Linked DNA regions of Rattus norvegicus. The protein of the gene in region 1 interacts with the protein of each later gene in a biochemical or structural test. Links are inferred from orthologs where the notes say so. Each region holds a gene or a part of one and is shown on either strand. Other genes may lie near its edges.

Region 1 (4,694 bases):
ATAAAGACAGATAAAATTCTCTAGTACAAACTTAAATAGATTATCAAAATTTAACTATGCATATGAATAAATATTCAAAACAGGCCAGAGGACTATGCAACAACGGCCTCAAAGCAGAGCAAGTCCAACCATAACATGGTAAGGGTCGAGTCTATTTAGTTTTCTCAGGTTACAGCTTTCCCTTACAGTCAGACTGCAGTCCATATGCACATGTGTATGCAGATGAGGACATACAAGTCATGCTAGGGTTTTCCCTAATGTGTCTCTATTAAATAAAAATTTCTAGGTTTAATGTTATCTAGAAAACTACATAACTAAAATATTGTTTTTCTCTTCCTCATTGGCTGGGTTTTTCCTCCAAGGAACCAAGGTGATGACCTATTGGGACCTTAAAGGTCATGGCCTGGAAAACAAGTGCAAATGTGTCCTCTCACATTGTGAAAATGCTGATAATCTCTGAGGATGGGTGGGTGACACTGGCAGTTCACCCTCTCCCCACCCTTAATGCATGTCTTTAAGTCTGTAGTAACACTAAACTCTAAAAAGTTATAAGGTCTACCAAGCCTGTACAAGGCTAAAGAGCATCAATAGAGCAATAAGTTATCTGACAAGGCACACATTGACAACAGTGTTCAAATCACACCAGTAATCAATCTATCAGCACACACGTGTGTGAGGCCTATCCGCTGGGAAGTTACTGAGAAAATGGACATAATGAGAGAAAGCATAGGTCTTATTTGAACGTGTTAGACAGTCCTTACTTAATTTTTTTTAATCTTACTATTGAACCTGGAGGCAATAAACCACCTGGTTCAGTAGTCAGGTGAGAAAAACAGAAATTTCATTTTTAAAAGAACCTGCTGTCTTTAAAAGTCTTAAAAGCCCACTCTTCACTTACTCGCCCACAGTCTACAGTTACTAACCAGCCTAAACTGGATGAATGGGCTCTCTGATATTTAATCACTAACCGTGTCAGGAACTAGTCAGGACTTTGGACTACTTGTCCAACTCTTTAAAACAACGAACTATCTCATATTTAAGATACAGGTAGGTAAGAATAAGACTGTTACAATGCTATCTGTAGAATAAGATAATTATTAGACATCACCTCTGAGATCATTCTCCAGGTCTAAAACTCATACTATAGGAATGTCAAATTTAACAGAGGTGTATATCAAAGAGATGACTGCTCTCGAACACAGCAGAACCCTTCAAATATCTTCAAGGATTCCAGAGAAATACAAGTCAACTACAGAAACACCAACAATAGTTCAGGAACCATTGATGTTCCTAAAACATTTCTACAACTTGTCCATCTTTCAATAGGTAACTCTAAAACTTGAAACGGTATTCTCAGAGGGCACAGAAATAACCATACCAGTAAGTTTTTTCTGGTAATTAAATACCTTTAGAAGCAACAGTGGCCTACTGCAAAACATAAGCACAGTAGAGATGTTCCAAGTTAATGGCCGTCCCCGGAGAGCCAAGCACATTGTCATTCTAAGTTTCACATGACAGAGAAGCACCATGCATTAGTACAGTGGTCACAAGTAAAACAGTTTTAATTCTCACCTATTAAAGCCTGAAAGAGGTTGCTCTGAAATATGCTAATAACCCGCTCTATGGAACTCCTGAGCTGTCTGTCTTCGGTTTGGCTTAGTTTCGACCGATATTCTTCCAACAGATGCAATGCTCTCTGGGTATCTGAAAAGACAAGTACGGTGAAAATTTCATGTATATATTTAGGGTCTGTGTCTGCATGCATACTTACAAGAAAGTGCTACATGCTACGTCTACAAGACATCTAAAGAGTTCCCCAGAGCCTCCAAGTCAAGTGGGGTCAGCGCTACAACCATATTCCATTCCCTGCTAAGACGAAAATACTTTAAAGGCTTTATATCACACTAGAGGAAGGAGAAAGTAGTGGCTGTGGACTGACAGCCTCCAATACTTAAAGACCATCTAATTAAACTGGTAACAACTTGGTTTTAGAATGCCTAATAGACAAGAACAAGTTATCTCCAACTTGGTCCTATAACCAAATTTTAAGTTTTTAAACATCGGTTCTTAGCTACTCTCAGTTGTTCACAAAATAGTGGTGCTATGAATGAAAAGTGAAATACTGAAGCAACGAAGTTTTTAAAAAGACATGGCAGGGGGCTGATTGATTGCTTCAGTAATCACTACAGATGTGGAGAAGGTGTGTGCAGCGAACTAGGTGTTTCCACCCTCTGAAATGATGTGGAGCTTAGATACCGTAAGGAATAAAGGCGAGAGCCTGCTGATTCATCAAAGTCACACAATCCTTTTAAAAACAGTAACCACAACACTGATGTATGTTACAGCCAGTGACAGCCACAAAACAGTTCCAAAATAAATTCTCACCTTGCTTCCGGACCGGCATTTTTTCCCAGAAGCAGGAAGAAGGCACACACACCTTTACAAACACAAAACAGGAAGAAAAACTTGAACTAAGGCAAAGAACTGAACCGTGGATCCATTCGTTCCCCCCCAAACCCCCCACCCCCGTCCCAAACTCTCAACTAGGAAAAACTCCAACCTTGGAGGAACTGCCCACCTTTCAAAGTTTTCCCAAGTGAAAAGCAGGAGCCTCAACCCCCCCAGCAGTGTCAGCCAAGGCAGAAAGCCGGTTCTCGGGGGTCGCTATGCCCCCTACAGATTAAGATCGGACCCAAGCCCGCTTCGGAATGTTCCTCCAGAGCTTCCCCCTCCGCAAAGAGCACCTGAAGAGGAGCAGCCGGGCCGCCGCCGCGGCGTGCTTGCCACGCTCCCCACCTGCTGCCGCCCGCCGGCCCGTGTCCAGCCGCGCAGCGCCCAGCCAAGCGCCGGGTTGCTCCCCCGGCCCGCTCCGGCCCCCTCCTCTCGCTTGCCTGGCTCCTCGCTCGCCTCCTCCCGGCGGCGACTCCAGCAGGGGCCGGACCGGACAGCCGCCGCTCTGTGCGCCGCCCTCGCGCCGCTCATGCACCCCTCCGCGGCCTCCACACCTGCGGCTCCGCCGCAAAGTTCCCGCGAGCGGCGAACGCGGGCGCCCCGGGTGCGCTCCGGCCAGACTCGGAGCAGCTCCCCGCCCGGCCCCGCTCCACGTACCCCGCCCCGCCCCGACTCGAGCTCAGCTGAGGGGGTGAGGGGACGGGGGAGGAGCTCCTCTCGGCGGCCGCACCCCCGCGCCGCTCTCTCCGCCTCGGCCGCCGCCGCCTGCCCTCTCGCCGCCGCTCGCGGCCCCGCTCGCCCGCTCGCCTCCGGGCCGCCCCACCCCCGGAACCTCGCCTCCTTCCGCGCCCCCAGTCGCTCTCCCCCTAAACTTTCCGCCAAGATGGCGGCCCTGGAGCTGGCCTGCCGCGCGCCCACGTGACTGCTTTCCCGACGCCCTCAGCCAATGAGAAGTGAGGAGGCGGCTCGCTCGGAGCCCGGGGCTCCGGGCGCTGCTACCTAGGGGTTGGCAAAGGGAGGAGGGCTGGGAGGGGGTTGGAGTAGTGGAAGGAGGGACCCTTCAGCATCCAGAGGGAAGCGCCTTGCTGAGAGGCGCTCCAGTCGAAGTGGCTCTAAGGACAAAGGAGTTGGCACGCGCTCTACAGGTGGTCCGAAGTGTTTTTGGGACAGCTAGCCTGCCCGTCGCCCTAGCCCAGGGTGGCCTGCAGTTCTGAACTAGCGCGCTGGACTCGAGATGATGGAGACTGAAACAGAGAAGTGACCTCACCTGCGCCAGATCCAAGAAACAAGCTCCAGACACCCCTTAACCTCACTGAACACGTGCTGGCCAACTTCAAGGCTGGAAGAGTACCTGGCACGCCCGGGGTGGATCCCCAACAGGGAAAAAGGAGTTTGTGCAGGCTGCGCCGGTCACCCACGTTAAGGGGCGGAGAAAGAAGGGACTTCGGAGGGGAAGGGGTAATCTGGGTCTTCCACTTTTGACTGGTTTTTAAAGTATTCGTTTGTCCAAAAAGGTTTGAGGAGTTTCATTAAGGACCGGATGTAAAACGGAGACTGATTAGTTTGGTAAACGTTTGAGGGTTTCAGGGGACTTTTAGGTGTAAGTGGTTAACTCCTAATATGAGCCGTTTAATGATGAAATTTTTCATTCATTTATGCCTGCATTCATCTGTGCGTTCATGAATGTGTCCCTGCCCAGTGATGCTCCCAAGAGTTACCCATCTTATGGAGGACCCTTTAAGAAACTCACCTGTCTACCTGGTGGTGGTAGCACAGGACTTTAATCCCAGGATGCTAAGGCAACCTAATCTTTTTGAGTTCCAGGCCAACCTGGGTTACAGTGAGTTCCAGGACAGCCAGGGCTAGACAGAGAAGAAACCCTGTCTTAGGTAAAAGACAAACAAAAAAAGCCTCTCACCTGTAGCTACCTCAGAGACTGAACTACTGCCAGCCCTCACAGCTAGTTTAAATTTCAAGCTCCTCAAAGCAGAGCAAACAGTCCCAAGGGACCCTTGCTCTAGAGTTGAGGCTGCAGCTTGAGGAAGGGGACAGTTCTCCGAGTCACTGCCCAGCTCACTGAGCGGCTTTTAAGCAATAGGAACTTCTCTGCTCCATAGCCCAGGAAAATTTTTCCAAAGTCGTCAGAAGTTACTGAGGCAGAACCAGAAAGGCAGAGACCCATATGTGTCAAACCTTAAGGCTGGATCCGCTTGGATCCAGCTTGGAGATGGTTCACTTGGTTC
Region 2 (4,202 bases), on another chromosome or scaffold:
CTCAGAAGGGTAATTAAAGGTGTGCACTATTTCCCCCCTTAGCTAAGCCCTCATGGTCCAGTGGACGGCCCCCCAAATAACCACCAGGCAAGAAGTGTTTTGGGTTATTATGTGTGTGCTTTTTTTTAATTGTATAATTCGTTTATACAAAGAAATCATTTGATTGATTTATTTACAGCCTTTTCCAATTTTCAGTTCCACTGGAGATATATTTCACATAATGGTTAACAATGACTTGAACTGATCACCAGTAAAACCCTGGGCTGACATGGGGCCTCTGTCCTTCTCCCCCCTTTAAAGAGCATGACCCCATTTCTAATGCAAACATTTTGCAGTGAAGAATCACGAGCTTTCTTGAATGAAGAAAACCAACCAGAATTAACCAAATTTCCAACACGCCGTGTGGCTTCTTCTCAAATTTAGCATTTGCAGGTATGAGAAACCAAAGCAAACAGAGTTCACATTCCCCCTGGCCTTCTCCAACTTCCTACATACCCTCAGGTCAGGCTGCTCCTAGCTCCGCTCCTCTGGTTCAGCCAGACAATTTTAGACAAATTACTCTTTCCCTTCCCTTTACTATCCCAGTCTCCTGCCTTCTCTCTTGCTTTTCTGACAACACAAAAACTTCCACCCACCCTTCCTGTGGTTTCTTTCAGTAGTCTAGAATACACTAAGTCATTTCATGGGACTTTATCACCCTGACATGATACACTGTAAAAACTGCTGTTTTCTTAATTGGCTCAAACAATATGGCTTGGTTTCACTTGATAAAATTAATATGACACACACACACACACACACACACACACACACACACACACACACACAAAATCAGGAGGAAAAACTTCAAGGATATGCCAATTTAAAAAGGCATCAACGTAAAAAAATAAAAGCAAATACTAAAAACTACTTTACAATAAAAAAAAATTAAATAGTTGGCAGAATGAATGAATGGAGAAGGAGAACCGTGTGAGACTGACACGGTGTTCGTTCGTTCGTTCCAGTTGAGAAAAGGGGAAGACAACAGGCTTTATGCTTGTTCTCCAAGGAAGCAGCGCTCCCTGTAAATATGAAATATTTCAAACTCAGACCTCGCCCATGTAGACTGCAGGTGTCATTATTAAAATTCCGCACTCCACCTGAGCTCTAACAAAGAACGCTGACGGAACTTCAGCATTTGCAAGGTTTAAGCTTGGCAAACACTGGCATTTGGTGGAAAGTCACGGTCTACCAGCATGGACGACACTGGTTCTGCCACATTTCTTCTGATAAAAGCCACCATCCATGAAAACACCCCTTCAAAGTCTTCACTCTAACAGTAACCTGTGTATCTTTAGCTGCCATTAACAACAACGACAATGACGACAACGCAGACGAGGACGTGGGGGTTGGGGGGGGGGAGGAAGGGAGAGGGAGAGGATGAGAGAGAGACCCAATCCATGGACATATTACATCTGGTACAGAGTAGCCCTCGACGCTCCCGTTACAAGAAAACTGTACACATTTATAAATAAACAGCTCCCACCGGGGAACACACACACTCATACCAAAGTCTCTTTCTTTTTGCCACCCAACTGCGCCTTGTCCCTTGCTCTTCGCAGGCCATGCTGAGGCCGATGTGCCTTTGCGTTCCTGGTGTCCTCCGAGGTCTGTACACTCGAGCCACACTCCAGCACACTTTCATGGTCTACCTGCATAACACCAGGAAGCACGCATGACCGTCGCTGGGCTCTGAGATTCCCAGCAGAAGGGTTGTTCTCCTCACACTCTTCGTGCAGGTCTGGCAAGCCCTGCAGCTCGAGGGGGCTGGCGGCCCGCTGGAAAGGGGCGATGGCCGAGCGAATGCAGTTGAACCACTGCTGCTTGTGGAACACATCGTTGGCTTGCAGTGTGTGGGACTGGCCTGGAGAAGGGTCCTGGAAGCGCACTCTAAAGATATTTTTAGCTGAAGGGAGGAAAGAAGAAATCAAGACTAAGAAGGTGGTCATGAAGTCTTAAGCAGAGTTCCAGCACTTACGACTAGACATACACTGTCCAGACAGCTGCTGGCCGGAGTCCCTGACCAACTCATGCTGTGCCAGGCACGACTAGGGAACAGTCTGCTTTCCAAGTTCTAAGGGTTGACTCTAATCTCATTTAGGGATGTTTGTTTCTTCTCTTCAGTGTTGGTTTTCAAGATGGGGTCTCATTCTGAAGCCCAGGTTAGCTTCAAATGTGTGGTCACTCTGCTTCACCCCTTTCCTCCCGGGCTAATCTGGCTCCCTTGAGTAAACTACCCTAGAGTGCGCCCTTACCTTTGTCTGAGTTGCCAAAGGCCCCTCGGAAGGAGCCGCCCATGCGCACATCCCCGTCCTGCAGGTCTTCCAGCACCAGCTCCTGCACTGGGATGGGCTGGCGGTAAACCTGGTAGGAGTGGCGCTCATTTCGGGTGACAGGCCGAGTCAAAACCAAGATGTCTTGAAATAAGAAAATGTACAGTTTCTGCAGAAATGAAGGGGAAAAAAACACCCAAAAGTTCTTAAATAAGGGGTTTAATTGCTGAAGTAAATTTGACATTAGACTTTGATTCTAAGTTCTTTATAAATGGCATAAAACAGTGATCTCATGGCTTTGATGTGGAGCAGTGAAGCTCAGGCCACCCAAAGCTCTTCTCTCTCTCCTGTCTGGCCACAGGCCAGCGTTAGGCAACAGCTGAGTAAATGCCATGGATCCGGAAGACCCGGCGTCAGCAGACTATGCACTGCAGCTTCCACAGGGAGCCCTGTGCGAGCTGCTACACAGGGCACGGTTCCGCTGTGTCTACAGGTCCAAGCCTTCACAGAACAGTTAGGCTCTGTGACAGAATCAGATAGGCTGCATTTCAACTTTCTCTTAAACAACCCCGACTTACAAATGGAGCTGTTGGAAAGCGCACAGAAACCAGAAATAGCATTCCCGACTCCTTAATTCCAGAAGGTTCTTTTGTAATGAATATTTAAAAAAATAAAGTTGCTCTTATTTAACCCGCTGTAAAACGTGAGTGGTACTGGAACCTCTGGCCCTGCTACCAGACACCATCCCCAAGGCAAGAGCTCATGAGACGGGAGCCAGCCACAGGCAGGCCTATGGATCGCGAGCAGAAAGGACGACTGCTAGTGGAGAGGTTTAAGTCTTCTTTGCTGGTCACACAGACAAGCATTAATCTGCTGTTGCAGGCTGCAGGCTCATTTTTAACAACTGCCTCATCGTTTATTCGCAGGACTTGAGGTGGGAATGGGAAGCAGTGGTTTCCCTTCAGTTCGTGTGGAAACTCACATGGCCACTTTTATTCTTCAGCTCCCCATGACACAGCAGCACCTTGCTCGCCTCGATCCTGGGGTCCTTCTGCTTCTCATCCAGGTACTCCAGTTTGTCGATGTAATACTGACACTCGGATTCGCCTTTCTTCAAGTTGATATCAGAAAGAACTTCTTGTATTATTAAAATCTAGAAATGATGAAGACAGAAGGGTAAGGCCAGATGGAGCAGCTGCAGCCTATCTGCCCATCCTCCTTCCCCCTCCCTGCCTTCCTCCTGAGCGACCTCACACAGAAGGACAGAATCTAAAGCTCGAATGGACTCAGAGTCACCCAGCCCGTCTCTTCACTATACCTGTGAACAGCCATACTGGGTGACTAGTTCAGGGCTGCCAGCCAGTGGAAAGAACTAGATAAAAACCCAGTCTTTTGATGATGTGAGATTTAAAAGTACCACTGTATGCTTTTCTAAGGTCACCCATGATAAACTTGCAAGACCCTTTATGGGTTCACTTACTGCTTTCTCCAGAAGCTGAACATCGAGGTGGTCTTTGGGCGTATGTCTAAGGATTTCTTTTAACAGCAAGGGGTACTTGACGAGGCGACTTCGAGGAATATCTAGGAAACTCCAAAGATCTAGCTTTCGACTGAAGGGAGACTCCAGACAGCGCTGGAGGAAGTCTTGGACTCGTGGGTCCTGTTTCTTCTGATCCAGAAGAGCCTTGGCCGCCAGCTGGTTGCTACAGTAGCCTCTGTAGGCGTTCAGGCCTGGTAACTGGGGTGCAAAGACAGAGCATGACGTATCCTGACGTGACCGGGTGCACAGTAAGCCATGAGCACAAACCACAAGACAGCCTGACCCCACGTGTGTAACCGGCTGTGGAGTTCTCCTGGCTCAACTGAGGTCTCGTGGCCTCACTAAGACAT
Region 3 (4,202 bases), on another chromosome or scaffold:
GTTAAACTCGGTACCACTGTATGGATGTGCCATGTTTTCTCTATTCGTAGAAATATTAACATACAATAATGTACACATACACACTGATAGTGTGATATATACATTGGTAGTATATGTCATACATATGGGAGCCAGTGGCCAATGGGGAGGAAACTCTGTGAGGAGGAACGGAGGCAGCCCGTGCACACTAAGAATCAGAATGGACTTAGGGGGTCAAAGTTCATTGGTCACCTATGGCAATGCACAGATGCTCATTTATCACACCAGGGCTATAGGGTGAAAAGAACACTGCACGTCAGTTCTATAACAGGACACAGGGATCCACCATTTGGGGGTCTCAAGACAAAACAAAAAGGAAGACGACGAGGAAGGAAACCAACCGATGCCTTCTAAGGAGCGGGGTGTGAGGTTGAGAGAGTTCTAGAAAACGAAAATTGATTAGACAGACCTGTGTCTGTCAGGGCCAACCAATGTTCCTAAGAGAAACCGGTGACACGGGCAGACACTACCTATACGTGCCCAAGTCTGCAAACAAAACGTCACACACACTATGGCTGTGTGCCACTCTAGTCAATCAAAAGTATAGTAAATATTTTAAAGTCATAAATAATTAAAAGGACGGTCTTTCTCCTGTCTCTGTCTGTCTGTCTGTCTTCTCCACATAATTTTCTCGTATTTTGTGAGTTCTGGGAACAAGCAGTATAGTGGTTTAGTTTCATTTTTCAAATAAGGTTGCATTCTTTTTTTTATTTTAAAGATTTATTTATTTATTATATATAAGTACACTGTGGCTGTCTTCAGACACACCAGAAGAGGGCATCAGATCCCATTACAGATGGTTGTAAGCCACCATGTGGTTGCTGGGAATTGAACTCAGGATCTCTGAGAGAGCAGTCGGTGCTCTAACCACTGAGCCACCCCTCCAGGCCCCAAGGTTGCCTTCTTTGCAAAGACCCAGCAGTCAGGAGAAGTCTGTAAAGTAGGCTGAAAAGTGGCCCTCACTAAAGGTGAACAGAATAAACCCCTGCTGATTGCGAACACAACCTTATCTGAGAAACAAAACTGAACCAGATCTCTGGGATAACCTTGGATGACCTCGAGAGGGCCCTAAAGGTCATCATGATATCCTCAGGATATATACATTTAGAAAATATACATAAAGATACTGAATACATCTCTCTATATATATTTAGAATATATACATTTAAAGATACTGAATATATCTATATATATTTAGAATATATATTTAAAGATACTGAATATACATATATATTTAGAATATATATTTAAAGATACTGAATATATATATATTTAGAATATATATTTAAAGATACTGAATGTATATATATATATATATATTTATTTAAAGTTATGAATTGGTTAAACAATCAGTAAATTTATTAGAGGGACTTCCAAAGGGCCTGTGGTGGTTTCATTAAAATACGCACTAGTTTACGTAGTTCTCTCTATAGGGCTTTGCTTCATCGAGTCGTCAAACTAAACTGTGGGAAAGTTATGAAAAAGGCAAGATTCAATGGCGCGTTCTAAAACGATGAAGACTTATAGAAAGCATGAAAAAACAAACAAGCGAACAAACAAAAACCCCACGTTTTCTCCAAGGCTACCAAACACATACCTTGTTAGTATCGGCAACGCTGTTCTGCCGGGCATCGAAGATAGTGAGTTTATGTGACTGCGCATTGGCATCCATGATGGTCTGCAGGTATTTCTCATCTTCTTTGCAGCGTTTATCGTTGGGACCCACCAATGGCTGGCCGCAACGTGTAATTGTGGCCTGACTCTCCGGATGAATCCACGACAACACCTGATGTTTTAGGGCAACAAATAATAAATATCCGCTGAGGGGTGTCATTCGTAATATAATATATTATCTAATTAGTTGACAAAAAGTACAATGAGACATTCTAAAAATCCCTTTCTCCTTTGAAATCCTATCACTCCAAATAAGATAAAACTTAAATCGAACTATTACTAAAATCTAATCCCATTTCTATTTGACTGTCAAGCTCCATATTTTTCTAATATAAAAACATCATATCTTTATAATAACATAAATAGCACAGTGAGGTCTCTTATCAAAAACATACATACATATATACATACATATATATAGATAGATAGATATAGATAGATATATAGATAGATATATCTCAGATCTCCCATTTTTCTACAGAGGTCCAAGGACACAAAATAATTCAGTTGTAAACTTGAAGAAACCATCCCTTCCTCCTGGGCATGATTATTTCATTCCCATGTAACTACAGAAATAAAATAAATGAGTGTTTGTATAATGAGGTATTTCTTCAGATCAAAAGTGAGCAGTGCACATAGAGGTGGGTACAGAACAGGTGAACAGTGCACATAGAGGTAGGTGCAGAACAGGTAAACAGTGCACATAGAGGTGGGTGCAGAACAGGTGAGCAGTGCACATAGAGATGTTGTGCCTGTTTCTTTCTGAACAACAAAGCTCATTACTCACAGGGACTCTGCCCTTTGCTCGAAAGGCTGACACTTTCAGAAGGTCATCATCTTTCACGCTCGTTGGCACAACGATGACGGCAGGGTAGGTATCGCAGAACTCATAATTACTGTTGATTTTGGATATTTTCCAGCTCTCATTTGGCAGGCCCTGTAGGACGTTAGAGGAAGAAGAACGGGAAATAAATAAATAAATAAATAAACAAACAAACAAACCATGAATCACATTTATTCGTTTATAACTTGCTTATTGCTATTAAAATAACGGTGCCTCAAATCAAATTAATGACAGCGTGGATCCTCATTCATCCATTCTTTATGAGGCCTGGAATGCAAAAACATCTGGAAGCACAGCTTCTTCTCCGTGGCTGCACATCTGTCCTTTCAGTACGGACAAGGAAGCTACCGCATCCCATGTGACAAGTGACGTACTCTACCTGTCTCTTGTATTCAGACACTGGGTCGTAGACTTTCCAGCCGTTAACTGGAAACTTCTCTTTATAGTTGAACGCAAACAGCGCCTAGAGACGAAAATCCACAAAACGCACGTCAGTGTTTGTTATCCCATAACAAACTATAAACCTTCGTTCATTCTGCTACCGGTTCTGTTTTAATCTGCACGTTTTAAAGTAATAACTTAGGAGCCCCCACTTCTTTCTTTTCTTTGTTGTTTTTTCTTTCTTTAATTTGTTTTTCCAGGCAGGGTCTGTCTACGTAGCCCCGGCTGTCCTGGAACTCGCTCTATAGACCAGGATGGCCTTGAACTCATAGAAGCTTTTCTTAATCATTCGTTATGCAGGAGAGATAAAATATTTGAATTTAGTTATTATGCAAGAGATATAAAATCCAAATTTTTGCATTTAGCTACGTCACAGAAAGAGATAAGGACTAAACCCAAAAGAAATGTATAAATGTGGAATTGCTGGACACCCAAGGAAGGTTTGCTTCGCTGTGCTCACCTGTCCATTGGAAAGAGGAAAAGCGTGCTTGTTGAGGTTCTCAAATATCCCAAGTTTTCTCTGTTCTTCCTGCTTATACGCGAGTCTCAGGTTCCTCATGTCCTAGGAAACGATGAACAAAGCTCAGCTATTCAACATGGAATGAGCACTTGTTAGCCAGACGCCCTGACACAGCACACACGGAAGACTTTTATTCATCCCTTGTTTTGTACTCTACAGTTTTTCAACTAACAGAAGACAAGTCAACAAGAATACTCCCAGTGAGCTTTTAAAAATTAAGGAAAAAAAGAAGGAAAAAATAGGGAATAAAAAAGAAAAAAAGGAGAAAAAAAGGAAAAAAATTAAAAAGGAAAAAATGGAGAAAAAAGGAAAAAAATTAAAAAGAAAAGAAAAAAGTTAAGAAAAATGGAATAAAGGGGACGTAAACATTGGGAAGGAGAGTCAGCAGGATAGTTAAAAATAATGTTTGCTCACATAAGATGTACAACCGCATTCTGTGCACTTCCTGGCCAAAGTGGAATTTATTGTTCAGGCTAAGCTGCTGAACGAGTCATCCGTGAAAAGGAATGTTACAAATGCTTCCCCTATGCACTCATGTGCAGAAGGTGCTTCCCCTATGCACTCACTGTGAGTCGCCTTAGCGAGTCTTTGTGTCAATAGAATAAACACTATTTCTTAATAATGATTTCTTAAAATGGTTTCCCAATCAATGTTTCTATCAACTCACCAAGGGGTGTGTGTGTA
Region 4 (3,431 bases), on another chromosome or scaffold:
AGCTTCATTCACTAAGTCACCTGGGAGGGAAGTTCCGCCCCGTGTGCACAGGCTGATACATGGTAATCATACATGTTAAGTGTTTGCCCAGAAATCTTACAACTTGAACCAGGGACATCTGGACAAACGACTCACTGCAGGGCTAAGGGCGGGTGGGAGGACCACAGTAACGGAGCCCAGATCAAAACAGACCATCCTGTGCTGCACGGTAAGGAACTGCTTAAGGGTACAGCACAGCTGGGTCCTTTATGACTTCTCTGCGTTAAGATCTTAACACTTCGAGAAGTCAGCTTGGTCTACAGACAGTCAGGGCTATGTAGAGGGACCCTGCCTCAAAAAACTAAAACCCAACCCCCGAAAAATCCCAAGTTAAAACATAGGAGGTATTTTATACTGAGCCATACTATTTGTTTTTGTATTTTGTCTTTCCAGACAAGGTTGCTCTATGTAGCTCTGGCTGTCCTGGAACTCACTCTGTAGACCAGGCTGACCTTGAACTCAAGAGATCCTTCTGCCTCTGCCTCCTGGGATTAAAAGTGTGTGCCACCACTGCCCGGCTGAGATGTTATTTGTATTTTGTATTATTTCTGTAATTTTTCTGATAAAAATTAACAAATTAACAAAGCACCCTAGAAAAACATTGAAAAAAAATCTAGTGGATAAAATTAAGAATTTTTCTTCAAAGTAATTTTAAAACCATAATCAATGTCTATTTTTTCATTGTTTATAGTAGGTCTCACATTACACAGTGATATGCATTTAAGATCCTGCAGATAAAAACAGAGAATATGCTTTTGGTCTCTGGGTAGGCTGAGGGTTTTAAAGGTGGAAGGCCCAACCCAAAGAAGGCAACAAGAAAAACCTTCATTCACAGCAGCCCCCTGGCAGGCTGCAGCAATGTCAGAGGCCAGAGGCCTGCTTTATTTCTGAGGAAGTGGCAGCGGGGGTTGGGGGGTGTTAAGGAAAGCTATGTATCCTTCTTCAAAGAACATTCCCAAACAGAATAAATGTATTCTCATTTGAATTTAAGATAATGCTGACAGAACGCACGTCTCTGAACTTCAGTGTCTGCCTGGACATCGGGCCCCATGGCACTCAGTCACACGTAAAAGAAACTCACTTTAGCAGCAACAGCAACTTTAAATAAAAATGCAACTTATCTTAGACTTGTGGCAGGACTGGTCACCAAGGAACCACTCTGCAAAAATGGTCTCAGACATTATAGCTCATGAAAATGCAGTAACTAAGGCCCTGTTTGTTCTAAGAACTGCAATGTTTGTGAGAAAGTGAGAAATCTCAAGTCTGGATGTCAAGTTCAGAGCAAAGAATCAGTGATTTCACATTTGCAATATCTATAAATAAAACGCGTGGGTCAGATAGGAATTATATGGATAATGTCTAGTAGACAGTGCGTACAGAAGTAGGGAACACCTTACTCATTAATTATACAGATAATGTCGAGTAGACAGTGCGTACTCATTAATTAGATAATGTCGAGTAGACAGTGCGTACACAAGTTGGGAAACCTCGTTCATTAATTTTGTCACTTATCTAGTTCAGTAAAATGCTCACAAGGAAAATAACCACCTAAGGCAGAAACTTCATTCACAACTTCATGAGAGCAGACAGATCAATACTGATCAACGTCCCTGCTTCAGACTGAATCATTCATCCTCAAACAGGTCATTTTGTGAGATGGACATCCGTGTTACGCTTGAAAAGCTGAAGCACAAATACAACCGTAGAGTTGGAATCTTCAACAGCCTAGACGGAAGTCTGCTTGTAGTTTTTAGTATCCAAAACCTTTTTGCCACACATCGCACAGATGCCTGAAACAAAAGAAAGCATGTGAGCAGCAGCCAGTTGCTTTATTTATGTTAAACTAAAGCTCAGCGGGGCTGCCCGGCTCGCTCACTGGTCAAGCGCACTTGCTCTGTCATCATGGAAACTAGAGTCTGGAGTTCAACATTCACATCTGCTCACAAATCCCCATAATTTCAAATCCAAGTAGGGTGCAGACAGGAGGATCCTTGGGGTTTGCTGGCTTCTACCCCAACTGAGAAACAGGAGCCTCAGGGTCAGGGAGAGACCCCGCCTCACAAGGTGGTAATAGAGAGAGACGCCTTCTCTTGGCTTCAGGCACACATGCCTAATGCATAAGTGAGCTGCACACATGACCACACACTCAGACACAGAGAGAAGGGCAGATGGAGAATCTTTAAGAACTTCAAAACGTCATAAGAGAGAAAAAGGGATATCCTTTTGACTACAAATTTAAATTCTATTTTATCTTAGTAAAAAAGGGTATTTGATTAACAACTCTAGAAAGGTTACTCCTTTCAATTACTTAAACCAACACCAAATGAGATAGATTTAAGTCGAAAAATCGAGTTAAAGAAACATACCTTTCTTGTAGGCACAGCCTTGACAGTAATGAGAACCTGGCTGGTGTACAGAACTTTTACAAATTCTGCAAGTGGAGAACTTATTTTTTCCATATGGATCAAACCTAGAGAGTTAAAAAAAAAGATATTCATACCACAATAGAAACTTGTGTGTGTGTGTGCGTGTGTGTGTGTGTGTGTGAGAGAGAGAGAGAGAGAGAGAGAGAGACAGGCTTTCTCTGTATGGCTCTGGCTGTCCTGGTACTTACTCTGTAGACCAGGCTGGCTTCTAACTCACTGAGATTCACCTGCCTCTGCCTCTCCAGTACTGGGATTAGATATGGGTAAGCCAATTACTAAAAACGGGAGGGTGGATTCCATATGTTCTCTATGTACATATGTATGTCATATGTGTGCAGGTAGCTATGGAAGCCAGAGGGTTTGGGTTCTTTGTAGATGGGGTTACACGTGGCTTTAAGAAGCAAACTCATGTCATCTCTCCAGGACCATTCCCCTTCCCTGCCCCCCTCCCTTGGTGAACCTTGACCTCCTGATGCTTTTGCCACCAGCACCTAAGCACTGGGGTTACAGGCACATGCCATCACACCCGGCTTAGTTTTTGCTCCACTCTGAAGGTATATAATATATTCTGGTGATGGTTTCTGTGAGAAGTAATATAAACTCTCATCAGCAGACCCGACCATAAAGGGTTAATCTCAATGTCCACATGTACAGTTCACTTTAATGAGACAGGCGCATTTCCTAATGACTACTCACTTTAACAAGGTTTTTCTACTGACTCCACTTGGTCCCTTTGGATAAAGGGATTTCTACTATATGAACATTGGTATCTTACAGGAAATAGAGGGCAAATAACTTTATAAGAAATAATTCTCCTAAAACTGACTATTTGCCTTCCTCCAGAATAGCTCTTTACATTTTCTTCATGTGACATTATCGTCCTGGTGTCTTGTTTGGATTACGGCATATGAGATTCTTTTAACTTTTTTACCTTTATCTGTGTATTTTAATTTTATGTGTACATGT

Evidence for each region. The genes of interacting proteins can lie anywhere in the genome.
Region 2: the proteins of Dlg1 (region 1) and Net1 form a complex in vitro, tested with the Homo sapiens proteins (3 studies listed by BioGRID and IntAct, with this or other methods). The link is inferred for Rattus norvegicus from reciprocal best matches to the Homo sapiens genes DLG1 and NET1.
Region 3: the proteins of Dlg1 (region 1) and Mtmr1 interact in a test that uses a peptide from one of them, tested with the Homo sapiens proteins (2 studies listed by IntAct, with this or other methods). The link is inferred for Rattus norvegicus from reciprocal best matches to the Homo sapiens genes DLG1 and MTMR1.
Region 4: the proteins of Dlg1 (region 1) and Cript form a complex in vitro, tested with the Homo sapiens proteins (3 studies listed by BioGRID and IntAct, with this or other methods). The link is inferred for Rattus norvegicus from reciprocal best matches to the Homo sapiens genes DLG1 and CRIPT.

What each region holds. Positions count from the first base shown.
Region 1 is NC_086029.1:82,604,488-82,609,181, forward strand, and holds the start of Dlg1 (disks large homolog 1), read right to left. Parts: upstream 3,311-4,694; 5' UTR 2,892-3,310; intron 2,438-2,891; 5' UTR 2,405-2,437; coding exon 2,386-2,404; intron 1,705-2,385; coding exon 1,573-1,704; intron 1-1,572. UniProt on the Homo sapiens protein: Essential multidomain scaffolding protein required for normal development. Recruits channels, receptors and signaling molecules to discrete plasma membrane domains in polarized cells.
Region 2 is NC_086035.1:71,276,241-71,280,442, reverse strand, and holds the end of Net1 (neuroepithelial cell-transforming gene 1 protein), read right to left. Parts: intron 4,051-4,202; coding exon 3,793-4,050; intron 3,466-3,792; coding exon 3,295-3,465; intron 2,482-3,294; coding exon 2,295-2,481; intron 1,946-2,294; coding exon 1,542-1,945; 3' UTR 98-1,541; downstream 1-97. UniProt on the Homo sapiens protein: Acts as a guanine nucleotide exchange factor (GEF) for RhoA GTPase. May be involved in activation of the SAPK/JNK pathway Stimulates genotoxic stress-induced RHOB activity in breast cancer cells leading to their cell death.
Region 3 is NC_086036.1:245,925-250,126, reverse strand, and holds part of Mtmr1 (myotubularin-related protein 1), read right to left. Parts: intron 3,561-4,202; coding exon 3,459-3,560; intron 3,021-3,458; coding exon 2,937-3,020; intron 2,651-2,936; coding exon 2,501-2,650; intron 1,826-2,500; coding exon 1,637-1,825; intron 355-1,636; exon of another isoform or gene 1-354. UniProt on the Homo sapiens protein: Lipid phosphatase that specifically dephosphorylates the D-3 position of phosphatidylinositol 3-phosphate, generating phosphatidylinositol. Could also dephosphorylate phosphatidylinositol 3,5-bisphosphate to produce phosphatidylinositol 5-phosphate.
Region 4 is NC_086024.1:13,334,268-13,337,698, forward strand, and holds the end of Cript (cysteine-rich PDZ-binding protein), read right to left. Parts: intron 2,510-3,431; coding exon 2,406-2,509; intron 1,830-2,405; coding exon 1,765-1,829; 3' UTR 711-1,764; downstream 1-710. UniProt on the Homo sapiens protein: As a component of the minor spliceosome, involved in the splicing of U12-type introns in pre-mRNAs. Involved in the cytoskeletal anchoring of DLG4 in excitatory synapses.